3 linked regions of the Cricetulus griseus genome follow. The protein of the gene in region 2 interacts with the protein of the main gene of each other region in a pairwise test. Links are inferred from orthologs where the notes say so. Each region holds a gene or a part of one and is shown on either strand. Other genes may lie near its edges. The genes, in order: Inpp5k, Arl6ip1 and Snx10.

Region 1 (3,749 bases), on a different chromosome or scaffold from region 2:
TCTGTAAGTGCTCTGAGACCTCTCCAGCCCTTACATTTTTATTACTGGAAGTCAGAGGACAACTTGGAGTGATTCCATCCACCCCAGGAAGGTGTTAAAGACTTGGTAACCAGAGGTTGCTCTCCCCCCCCCCCCCCAGTTTTGAGAAAGGATCACACCACAGTCCTGATGGCCTGTAACTCTTTTAAGGCAGCTCAAGCTGGCCTCAAACTTGAGTAACATCCTGCCTCAGCGTCCTGGAATTAGATACACACCACTACACCTTGTCCCAGGACATACATTTAAAGTAGCAGGATGCTTGTGAGTTCTCGAAACTGGGCGCCACTGAGTAGTTGGTACTACAGGTGAGACCCACCGTGCGGTGCTAAAAAGCAGGATCTTTAACTTGACTTTCCAGTGTGTGAATCTCATGGAGATTGTTAGTAAAACAATTCGGGAAACAATCTCTCTGCTTTCAAGAAATTATAACCAAAGACCTAAAGGGAATAAATCAAAGTGAGTCTGCCAAAGTAAATAGTGATATGAGTCCAATATACACTAAATAGGAGCCACGACTTGTGTGTCATTCACTGATGGCTCATTTTCCGAGCCCGGGAATCCCAGAATGTGCTTTGTATTCAGCAAAACTAGGTTCGAGCTGGGCATAGTGGTGCACTCATGTCTCGGCTCTGAGGTGGTAGGTTCGGCTTGGTCTGCATAACAAGCTCCCAGGACATAACAGCGAGACTGTCTCGGGGAAATGAAACCAAACGACGACCAGAGAGTCACTTAAAAGAATGCAAAGGTCCCAAGGAACCGCAGAAATTACTTTGAAGTGCGGAGTGAGGGAGGCCGAGCGGACGGACAGACTATCCTGAGCGTTCCCACGCTGCCCACTCCCGGATTCTGAGGGTAGGCAGACGACAGACAGAACTTTACGCCACGGGACGGTCGCCAGCCAGCCCGAGGCCGCGCGCAACGCTCCCCGCGCCCTCGCCCTCGCGCAAGGCAGGCTGGGAGTGCGGGGCGCCGCCACCCACTCGCACTGTGGTCGGTGAGGGCGGTGTGGCGTCGGGGGCGGATGACTCGCGTCTCTTCGTCTCGGAACCCATCTCCGCTCCGCCTCTGGGCGTTTCGCTCTGCAGTGGAGTCCCGCCTCTGTTTTCCCAACCGCGCCTCACACTCCTGAGCGCTCACGATCCGCCTCCTACGGAAGCCGAGGCACACAGTCAGGATCCGGAAGAAAAACAATTCGGAGGGAACAGTGCCGCTGATACTGGCCACCAAGGAAGGGCTGCTCCGGTTCGCACTGGCTGGAGCGAGGAGTCACGGCGTGGGAATGAAGTCGGCTGCGTGCCTACGGAGGCCGAGCACACCGAAAGTCTCTGTACTCAGGTGAGGACGCATTTATAGGCCGATCGGTTACTGGCGGTTCACTGTCTTCGTTTCAGTCTGATTTGTGGGGCTGGGCACCAAAAACGGTGGAATCAAGAGGACAGGCCTACAAGGCTGCCCTTGTTTGGACCCCCAGACTCTGCCAGGCCAATATTGAATGGGCTGTTAGACCTGATGCCCGTCCTAAACTTGGACTGCCAAACTGGTCACTGCAGATGCTTCCCAAGCAAGTGTCCTGTTGGTTTTTAAGAGCACACAGACAGTAGTGTCTAAGACATTCTTCCCTTCCGCTGTAGAATAGACGTTTTGTTCCTACTTTGCATCAGCAGAACATCATGGGGTCTTCTTGATCCGGTTATGATCTCTACAAATCCGAAATCAGATTTAAATAAGATCCTTTAGAGAAGTGAACCCTGGTCTCATGCTTGCTCTTTAATCACGAGGAACACCGCTAATCGTCCAATTGAGCGTAATCATGGTGCATGGATTCGCTGCTAATTATCAAAACTGAGAACATGGATGATCAATCCCGAATTTTATTCTTTATCCACTTAAAGTGCCTGGGAATACAAGAAGCCATTGAATAAACGGGTTACCTGCCTTAGTCCTCTGTTGGACAGCAGGGGGAGACTGTAAACAGATCAACTAACAGTCAAGAGAGCCTGAGAAGGTAGTTTTTGTATTATTTTGTTTATATTAACAGGGAGAGGCAGGAAGTTGCTTTAAGCTAGCCAAGAAATGTGTTTTACGAGTCATGCTTCTTAGAACATGTACCTCTAAGAACAGGGTCTGGTGGACAGATGTTTCAGAACAGACTGCCCTTCCCTTTTAGGATCCTCAGTATTCCTGGAACTCACAGGCTTCATTTCTGTAGAGTCTTGAGCTCCTGCTTGCTCTGTCCTGGGAACAGTGTGGGCTTCTTGGAGCATTGCTGTAGCAGTATGCTCACTCAAGGGCTCTACAAGTCTTTGCTTTCCTGAACTTGTGATGGGATGTCATGGTGTTTAAGAGCTGCTAATTATTTCTCCTGATACTCTGGGACTTGTCGAGAGCTGAGATTGGGATGTTATTCCCAAACTGATGATTTTTCCCAATAGACAGTAGACTGTTGAGATAGATACTTAAAATCTTGTTAGTTAGAAATTTGTACTTAGGCTCCATGAAGGCCTTGGTAGAATTTGTTGAGTTCCAGGGATCTGTAAGGTAGGCCATGCGGAAGGGAATGTGCTGTTTATTTTGTTCTTTTCTGAAATTTCTGTTCTTGTAACCCTGAGGCCTGTGATCAAGTACAATCAACCTCTAATACCTTCTTGGTGCTCTAGGAATCCATAGGGTGAGGAGAGGGAGTACAGAGTTGCTGACTGAGCCATAGAGGATCAATGAGGTGTAGATAGCTGGAAAGGCTAATGGGTTAACAAACTCCTGGCTGTCCATCTCATCATTTCCTCCTTTTCCTTACCAAAACTCCCGCATTCCCCCTAGCAGCTCGATGTGTCAGGTGCTGCTGAGGTATGGGCAATTATGAAGCTGTGTAGAGGACCCAGTTCAAGGGAAGAGACTCCTGGTTCAGGAGATGAAAGGGAAGGTGAAGCCTTTATAGTCTATTGCTCCTTTTCTTCTTTTCCTGCCACAAGATGAAGAAACAAGCCCGGAACCCTGGTATACAACTTTAATCCCAAAACTTAGAAGGCAGAAGCAGTGTGATTCCCCATGAGCTCCAGACAAGCCTGATTTACATAGGAGTTGGAGGCCAGCCAGGGCCACATAGTGAGACTGTGTCTCAAAAACAATAGACTAACAAACATACAGACACATTTCCCCGTGAGCACTGTGATGGAAACCATTAATAGGCCCAGGCTCCTGCCTATTCCTTAGCCTTCATTCTGTGACTTCATTTAATATCTTTTCTACAGTATACATGTTGTGACATGGAATGTGGCCTCAGCAGCCCCCACTGTGGACCTCAGTGACCTACTTCAACTGAATAGCCAAGACCTGAATCTGGACATATATATCATTGGGTAGGTATCCAAAGGACCCCTTGGCCCTCCATCTCTGTAGAGGGCTGATGTAACCTGACCTCCCTTCATTTTGGAGTATGAAGGTGAGGAGCTTTCATCCTCATCGGGTTTAGCCTCATGTGTCTTGGTCCTGGGTCAGCAATGGTCATGGATTGAAGATCAACAGCCACACCGCTAGGGAAGGGAGAAATCTTGGTCATCAGATCCTAGGTTTGAAAGTCTGATGAAGCCAGTACCAGATGTCTGTGGGAGAAGCAGTATCCTCCAGGCCTGGGAATGAGCCTGACTTGGAACGGTCAGTTTGCAGGAAATGAATTCTGGAATCATAAGCCTTCTTTCTGATGCTGCTTTTGA
Region 2 (3,649 bases):
AATTTTACCTTTCAATGATTTAGCTACCTCATATAACATTTATGAATATATGTAGGCATTACACCAAAGGATAATAAGTACTGAACTTCACTCCTAAAAAGGCTGTCACTAGACTGAAATTACAACAAACTCAGTATTTTGCTTCACATTCCAATAAGTAAAACAAACAAACAAATAAATAACAAAATACCATTTTAGGCTTCTCTTCCTTTAGAGAAAAGAGGCGTTTCCACCAGCCCACAGCTCTGCGTCGAGTTTTTACTAGATTACTGCAGATTTCATGAAATCTTTGCTGTTGTTCAGTGGTCCTAGAAAAGAGAGTTTTGTTTTTGTTTTAAGTAAATGGATACAGTACAATTTATTTAACTTTCCTGAGAAAGAATCTCTCTGGCTGCCCCTGAACTCATGATCCTTCCGCCTCAGCACTGTAATATGCTAGGATTATAGGCATGAGCCACAAGGCCTAGAACAGTTAAATTCCTGATCTACCTGCTTCTGTCTTCCAAGTGCTGAGAACATAGGTGGCTGCCTCCACATGTGGCAAGAGTTATCTTCTAAAAAAAGTAAAAATAAACAATGGCTCACCATTGAGTGCAAATTTTTAAAAATTGTGTTACTTATACTTTATGTGTGTGTTTTGCCTACATGTTTATCTATACACATATATGAAATGCCTGGTGCCTACAGGGACTAGAAGAGTGTTAGATACTGTAGAAGTAGAGTAGTTATACTGGGACTCAAACTCAGGTCTGTCCTCTAAAGGGGGCAAGTGAACTTTCCAGACCCCAGAGTGGCTACATTTTAAGACACCTATCACAGAACAGAAAACACTTTTAAAATATGCCCTTGCACATATTTTTTTTTGTTTTTTTTGTTTTTTTTTTGTTTTTTTCCGAGACAGGGCTTCTCTGTGGCTTGAGGCTGTCCTGGAACTAGCTCTTGTAGACCAGGCTGGCCTCGAACTCACAGAGATCCACTTGCCTCTGCCTCCCGAGTGCTGGGATTAAAGGCATGTGCTACCACCTCCCCTTCAAAGAAAGGGTTATTATTTGATTGATTGATTGATTGATGGTTTTTCGAGGCAGGGCTTCTTTGTATAGCCCTGCTTGTTCTGGAACCAACTCTGGAGACCAGACTGGCTTCAAATTCACAGCGATCTACATGCCTGTGTCTCCTGAGTACTGGGATTAAAGGGTTGTGCCACCACTGCCCAATAAGTAAGGGCATTTTTTAAAGTTGATGTTTTAAATAAAAATTACAGAACTCTTCTAATTCTTTTTTTTTAATTGCATTTTATTTATTTGGGGATGGCGTGCATGTGCCACATAACATGCATGTGGAGATCAGAGGGCAACTTCCCAGAGTTTGTTTTCTCCTACCATATGTGACAGACCTTGGGGAGTGAACTCAAGTTAATAGGGCTCTGCAACATGCACCTTTGCCTACTAAGCCAGCCCCTTAATGAACCTTGAACTTAGGTTTGTTTAACTATGTCCCTTTGATGTGTATGAGTCCTCATTTGTGAGTGTATACACATGAGGACAAACAACCTCATGTCAAGGTCAGTGGCTGATTCTCCTGTTCAATGCCTTACACTGTCCAGTCACAAACTTTCCTCAAACAACTGTATTAGGTCAGTTTGAAGGACACCCAGAGGTCAGTTCTTTCCTTCTATCCCAGCACTTGGGAGGCAGAGGCAACTGGATATCTGAGTTCTAGGACAGCCTGAGCTACACAGAGAACCCTGTCTCAAAAAAAAAAAAAAAAAAAAAAAAAAAAAAAAACTCTAATTGTTAGAGTTGATCTTTTAAGCTGTCTGGGTTGGTTCACATCTCTAATCTCAGTACTCTGGATGACAGACATTGTGATATGAGGCCAGAGTGGGATCCATACACATAACAAGCTGTGGACCTGCCTATCTTGGTTACACACATACTATACCCAATGTTCCCCTACATCCCTCAAAACAAACCAACGGGGACGTTGTGTTTAAGGCAGAGTGAGGTTGTGCCTTGAGGCAGTGCAGGGGTAGTTGACCAAGTGCATTGAGTAGATAAGAGTAGATTGATTCTAAACTGGGTGGTGGTGCACACCTTCAATCCCAGCATTCGGGAGGCAGAGGCAGGCGGATCTCTGTGAGTTCGAGACCAGCATGGTCTACAAGAGCTAGTTTCAGGACAGCCTCCAAAGCCACAGAGAAACCTTGTCTTGAGAAACCCTGTCTCGAAAAACCCAAAAAGGAAAAAAGAAAGTAGATTCTAGTGTTGGATACACATGATCTGTTGATCTCATTTTTATCATCACCTGATTGGTTGCTTATGATTTCTAATAGTTAAATGGTTGGATTTCTCAGAGCTCAGTATTAAGAGTGCTTTCCCAGAACACATCGTGCCCTGAGTTCTGTTCTCTGCTGGAGGAAGGAAAGAAGACATGTAATGAACAGAACCAGATATTGGAATAGATTTTTCTGTCAGCTGACATTTTCAATTGATTAGTGTTCTGCCTCTGCCCTTCATTTTTTTGTTTCCAAATAACAGCAAGTTATATAATCTGTAAAAATGAGAGCCTCTACTGTGTACCTTCTGGATCTGAAAGAACAAATTCACAGACTCTGGGGAGTTAAACTATGGGTTAAGTAAGCATATTTCTTTAAAGAATAACAGGTCAGTGTTAAGACTTGTTACTCAAACTGCTCTTCCTTTTTCATGAGGAATTTAATGCTATTATGTTTGGGGAAGTTTATGGCCTTGACATTAGCCAGACAGCAGTTGACTAACTCATAATGCTGGAGGAAAGTCTTCGGAGAGAAGCAGATGTTTGGTGGTAATAGCATCCAAGGGGCAAGTTTTATGTTTTGATTATCTGGGATGGTGTGGGAAAGAAGGAACACTATAGCCACAATGTAGCCTTGACCGTGGACAGCTTGGATGATCTGAGAAATCCTCCCACACCTTTGCCAGGCTAACACTACAGGAGAGAGGGCAGCATGGTTCTCAGCCTGATCCTTTTTAGTAGTGGACCTGTGCCACAAAATAGCAGAGGAACAGATTAGAAATGAGAAAAACATTGGCTTTCTTTCTTTGTTCCTTTGTTTCTTTCTTTTTTCAATATAGGGTTTCTCTGTGTAGCTTTGGAGGCTGCCCTGGCACTCACTCTTTAGACAAGGCTGGCCTCGAACTCACAGAGATCCAACTGCCTGAGTGCTGGGATTAAAGCCATGCACCACCAACGCCCAACTAAAACACAAGTTTTTAATCAAAGTGAAATACAGAGATGCAAGTACTAAAAATTCTTGACTCATCTGAATTTCAATAAGAGATTTTTCACATAAGAGTAATGAGGTGTCCGATGGTTAAAAAACAGTCTTCACTTAATTACAGTACATTAATCATACATAGCCACCTACCATTTATTAGAGCCAAAAATCCTTGGTGCTAGAATGGGAACAAGGTAGTCAGCCAGGCACAAAAACATAACAAAACAGGAAACACCTGACAGCACAGATGGATCGAGATAATAGATAATCCTGTTAAAAACAAAGAAAATTAACCAAAGTTAGAAAACCACTTGTCATTATTCCTGACCAAAGTTGTTTACTCCCTAGCCCACAGCTTCTCAAAGATGGTGCTGTTTCCTTTCTAATTTCCTC
Region 3 (3,749 bases), on a different chromosome or scaffold from region 2:
GGTGGTGCACGCCTTTAATCCCAGCACTCAGGAGGCAGAGGTAGGTGGATCTCTGTGAGTTTGAGACCAGCCTGGTCTACAAGAGCTAGTTCCAGGACAGACTCCAAAGCCACAGAGAAACCCTGTCTTGAATGAATGAATGAATGAATGAATGAATGAATGAATGAATAAATAAATAAATAAATAAATAAATAAATAAAATAAAAAGATAAAATAAAAACAGGGCCAACCGGGGCTGGAGAGATGGCTCAGAGGTTAAGAGCACTGGCTGCTCTTCCAGAAGTCCTGAGTTCAATCCCCAGTAACCACATGGTGGATCACAACCATCTTCTTCTGGTGTGCCGATATACGTGGAAGCAGAATGTTGTACACATAATAAATAAATAAAATCCTAAAAAAGGGGGGGCAATCACGGTGACACCTTTAATCTCAGCACTTGGGATGCTGAGGCAAGCAGATTTCTGAGTTCAAGGTCAGCCTGATCTACACAATGAGTTCCAGGTCAGCTGTTTTCTTATTTTTTGAGACAAGGACTCAAGGTTAAGGATGGCCTTAAACTCCTGACCCTCTTGCTTCCACCTCCCAAGGGTTGGGATTACAGACATGCACCACCATGCCTGACTCTGCCAACAATAACTTGAGGAGCAAACAAGTGTACCAAGATCTCAACTCAGAATGGTCTGAAACCAGAAGCTGTGGCCAGTGCACACCATTATATAGTTTCTAGCTGGGACAAGGTCTGTAGAGCCTATTGTTAACTAAGAAAAAGACTTTTGTTGATAACAGCCTTAAAATCTGGGGGGACGTTCCAGGAGTCCACCATCATCTTAGCCAACATCCTTCTCTGCTATCCTTCAAAATAAAAGTCTTTGTAGGCTGACCCTGTTCTCAGGCAGCCAGTAGCTCTTTGCCTTTCACAAGTGGTTGTTACACCACAGACCTGAACTAAAAGAGGAAAAAGAAACCAGTTCCCCCAATGGCTTAACTCAAAATGAAAGGAGTGCCATGCCAGGGCTGAAAACGGTCAGGAGTGCTCTAAACTGCAGTAGGGGAACACAAAAGCAACTCTTTAAACAGGTAGAAAGAACAGCCATCTCTGAAGGTCTTCCATTCTCGAAATAAAAGGAGGTGGGTAACACAGTCCAGAGCGGAGAATGAGCCATGATGGCCAAAGATAGCAAGCCAACCCCATGGCCACCATAGGCACGCCTCCCTGAGGGCAGTGCCAGCCTGTCCCATTTCCATAACTAAGAATGCGCTGACAGAAGACACCCAGGTGGATGGTCAGTTAACTACAAGTAGCTGCTAATGAGATCTTTTACATCTTCACATAGTCACTTATATCTAAATATATATCTACATTTATATCGTTATTCAAAACAGTCTGTCAGTCAATCTCAAAATAAAATAAAGAAACGGGGGGGGGGGGGGCTGGAGAGATGGCTCAGAGGTTAAGAGCACTAACTGCTCTTCCAGAGGCCCTGAGTTCAATTCCCAGCAACCACATGGTGGCTCACAACCATCCTCTTCTGTTGTGCAGATATACATGGAAGCAGAATGTTATATACATAATAAATAAATAAAATCTTTAAAAATAAATAAATAATCGGGGACTGGGGTGTAGCTCAGTGGTAAGACGCTTGCTGATACGCTCAAAACCATGGGCTCCATCATCCCCAGGACCAGAAGGGAGGAAGACACCTCCTAGAGACTGGGTGAGCCCGAGATGAGTGTCCGGGTGTATCCTAGCCTTAGGGAAAGGAATCACGCGAAGTCATGCAGACTCCTCAACCTCAGTTGAGATATTGTTGCCAGGACACGTAACCTCCACCTCCTGAAAAGCCCCTCAAAGATGGGCCAGGGACTGGAGGAGTCTCCTAAGGCCCCCAAGCCCCTCTGGCCACTCCCACAAGTCCACTCCCAGGAGAAGAGGGGTTTTCATGCACCCCTTCTGCTCCCCGCTGACGGACCTTGGTTTCACCTGTCGCAAATTGAAAGGGTAGATGGCGATCAGGTCAAACCCCACTCTGCTCTCAATTTCTAATCCTTCGCTCTCCAGGAGCTTGTGCCTTTCGGAAACAGACATCATCCCGTGACCATCCCCTTAACAATCCTGGTAATTTTAGCAAAGTGTGATGTGTCCAGAACCGATAAACAGGCTGTTGCTTCCCCGTGTCATTAAACCCGATCATCAACGTGGGCTCCTCCGCGGCCTTTTCCATCAATCCCACAATCCCATGAAGAAGAAGAAGAAAAAGAAAAAGACCTTCCTTGCCCCTCCCAGCCTCTAAACTCAAAGGTGTCTGGCCTTGCATTCAAAGGGGGCTGGGGTGGGGGGACCGCCCGCCAGCATCTCTCGCGTGCCCGGCCGGGCTTAGCAGGTGCGGGGGCGGCCACGGCACCCGCCGCCCAGCTCCCTCCCGGAGGCTCGGCTTACTCACGCGCGGTCCTGGGCGGCGGCGCGGGGCCGGGAACACCACGGAGTTTGCTGACTCAAGGCGCGGCGGCGGCGGCGGCGGCGGCGGCGAGCGCCCAGGAGCGCACCCGTCCAGCGCACGCAGAGCCCGCCCCGCCCGCCCCGCCTGCGCGCCGCTGCCCCGCCCCGCGCCGCTGTCAGCCTCCGACCGCAACGTGGGGACAGCCACACTGCTAGTGGGTCTTTCTCTCTACCCAGCAGAGAGGGATGGGGGAGGCTGGGAACAGACTAGCATGACTCGGTGCTAACCACGGGATCTCCACGCAGAGCATGCGATTGTTTGCTATACAAATATTCTTAACTTCTCTGTAATTTTTTTTTCATGAACTATGAAGGAGAAAACTATGCGATCTGCCAAAGATACGCACATTTCCTAAATACCATCTTGGGCTGGATCTCACCCTCCTGTGTGCATGGAACACCTCAGTGGTCCGGATTGGGAAGATGGCCCAGGTTTAAGAGCACTTTTTGCGCCCTTTCAGAGAACCTGGTTCCCAACACACACACACACACACACACACACACACACACACACACACACACACACGGCAGCTCACAACTGCCTGTAACTCCACTTCACCACTCTCTTCTGTCCAGTCACCCACGTGGTGCAAATACAAGCTGGCAAAATACTCATAAAATAATATGAATAAATCTAAAGGCAGAAAAACTCACTGATGGCCGGGTGTTGGTGGCGCATGCCTTTAGTCCCAGCACTCGGGAGGCAGAGGCAGGTGGATCTCTGTGAATTCAAGACCAGCCTGGGCTACAAGAGCTAGTTCCAGGACAGCCTCCAAAACCACAGAGAAACCCTGTCTGGAAAAAAAAAAAAAAAAAAGAGTTGCTATAGTCGTGGTGTCTCTTCACAGCAGATAATATGTGACCATCACTTTTTTGTTTCTTTAACCTTCAAATCATTGTCTGAGTGAGTAACATTATTCACTGCCTAAAAACAAAAAATGCAGCATGTCTAAGATCCTGAGTGTCCAGACTAATCAAGAACCTGACTTCAGACTTCCAAGTTTGCTGGAGCTCACTGCGTAGACAAGGCTGGCCTGGGACTCACTACAATCATCCAGTCTTGTCTCCCAAGAACTTGGCTTACAAGTACAGATGTTCTCTATGACACACATCTAAGAGCCTGACTTTTTTTTTTGGGGGGGGCAGGGTGTCAAGACAGGGTTTCTCTGTGGCTTTGCAGGCTGTCCTGGAACTTTGTAGACCAGACTGGTCTCGAACTCATAGAGATTTGCCTGCCTCTGCCTCCCGTGTG

Evidence for each region.
Region 1: the proteins of Arl6ip1 (region 2) and Inpp5k interact in binary tests that used the Homo sapiens proteins (3 or more experiments, as listed by UniProt). The link is inferred for Cricetulus griseus from reciprocal best matches to the Homo sapiens genes ARL6IP1 and INPP5K.
Region 3: the proteins of Arl6ip1 (region 2) and Snx10 interact in binary tests that used the Homo sapiens proteins (3 or more experiments, as listed by UniProt). The two-hybrid records come from large-scale screens. The link is inferred for Cricetulus griseus from reciprocal best matches to the Homo sapiens genes ARL6IP1 and SNX10.

The regions. Positions count from the first base shown.
Region 1 is NC_048600.1:89,088,895-89,092,643, forward strand, and holds the start of Inpp5k (inositol polyphosphate 5-phosphatase K), read left to right. Parts: upstream 1-1,046; 5' UTR 1,047-1,318; coding exon 1,319-1,374; intron 1,375-3,287; coding exon 3,288-3,395; intron 3,396-3,695; coding exon 3,696-3,749. UniProt on the Homo sapiens protein: Inositol 5-phosphatase which acts on inositol 1,4,5-trisphosphate, inositol 1,3,4,5-tetrakisphosphate, phosphatidylinositol 4,5-bisphosphate and phosphatidylinositol 3,4,5-trisphosphate.
Region 2 is NC_048596.1:82,516,202-82,519,850, reverse strand, and holds part of Arl6ip1 (ADP-ribosylation factor-like protein 6-interacting protein 1), read right to left. Parts: intron 3,527-3,649; coding exon 3,407-3,526; intron 309-3,406; coding exon 191-308; intron 1-190. UniProt on the Homo sapiens protein: Positively regulates SLC1A1/EAAC1-mediated glutamate transport by increasing its affinity for glutamate in a PKC activity-dependent manner.
Region 3 is NC_048601.1:89,821,895-89,825,643, forward strand, and holds the start of Snx10 (sorting nexin-10), read right to left. Parts: upstream 2,557-3,749; 5' UTR 2,442-2,556; intron 1-2,441. UniProt on the Homo sapiens protein: Probable phosphoinositide-binding protein involved in protein sorting and membrane trafficking in endosomes. Plays a role in cilium biogenesis through regulation of the transport and the localization of proteins to the cilium.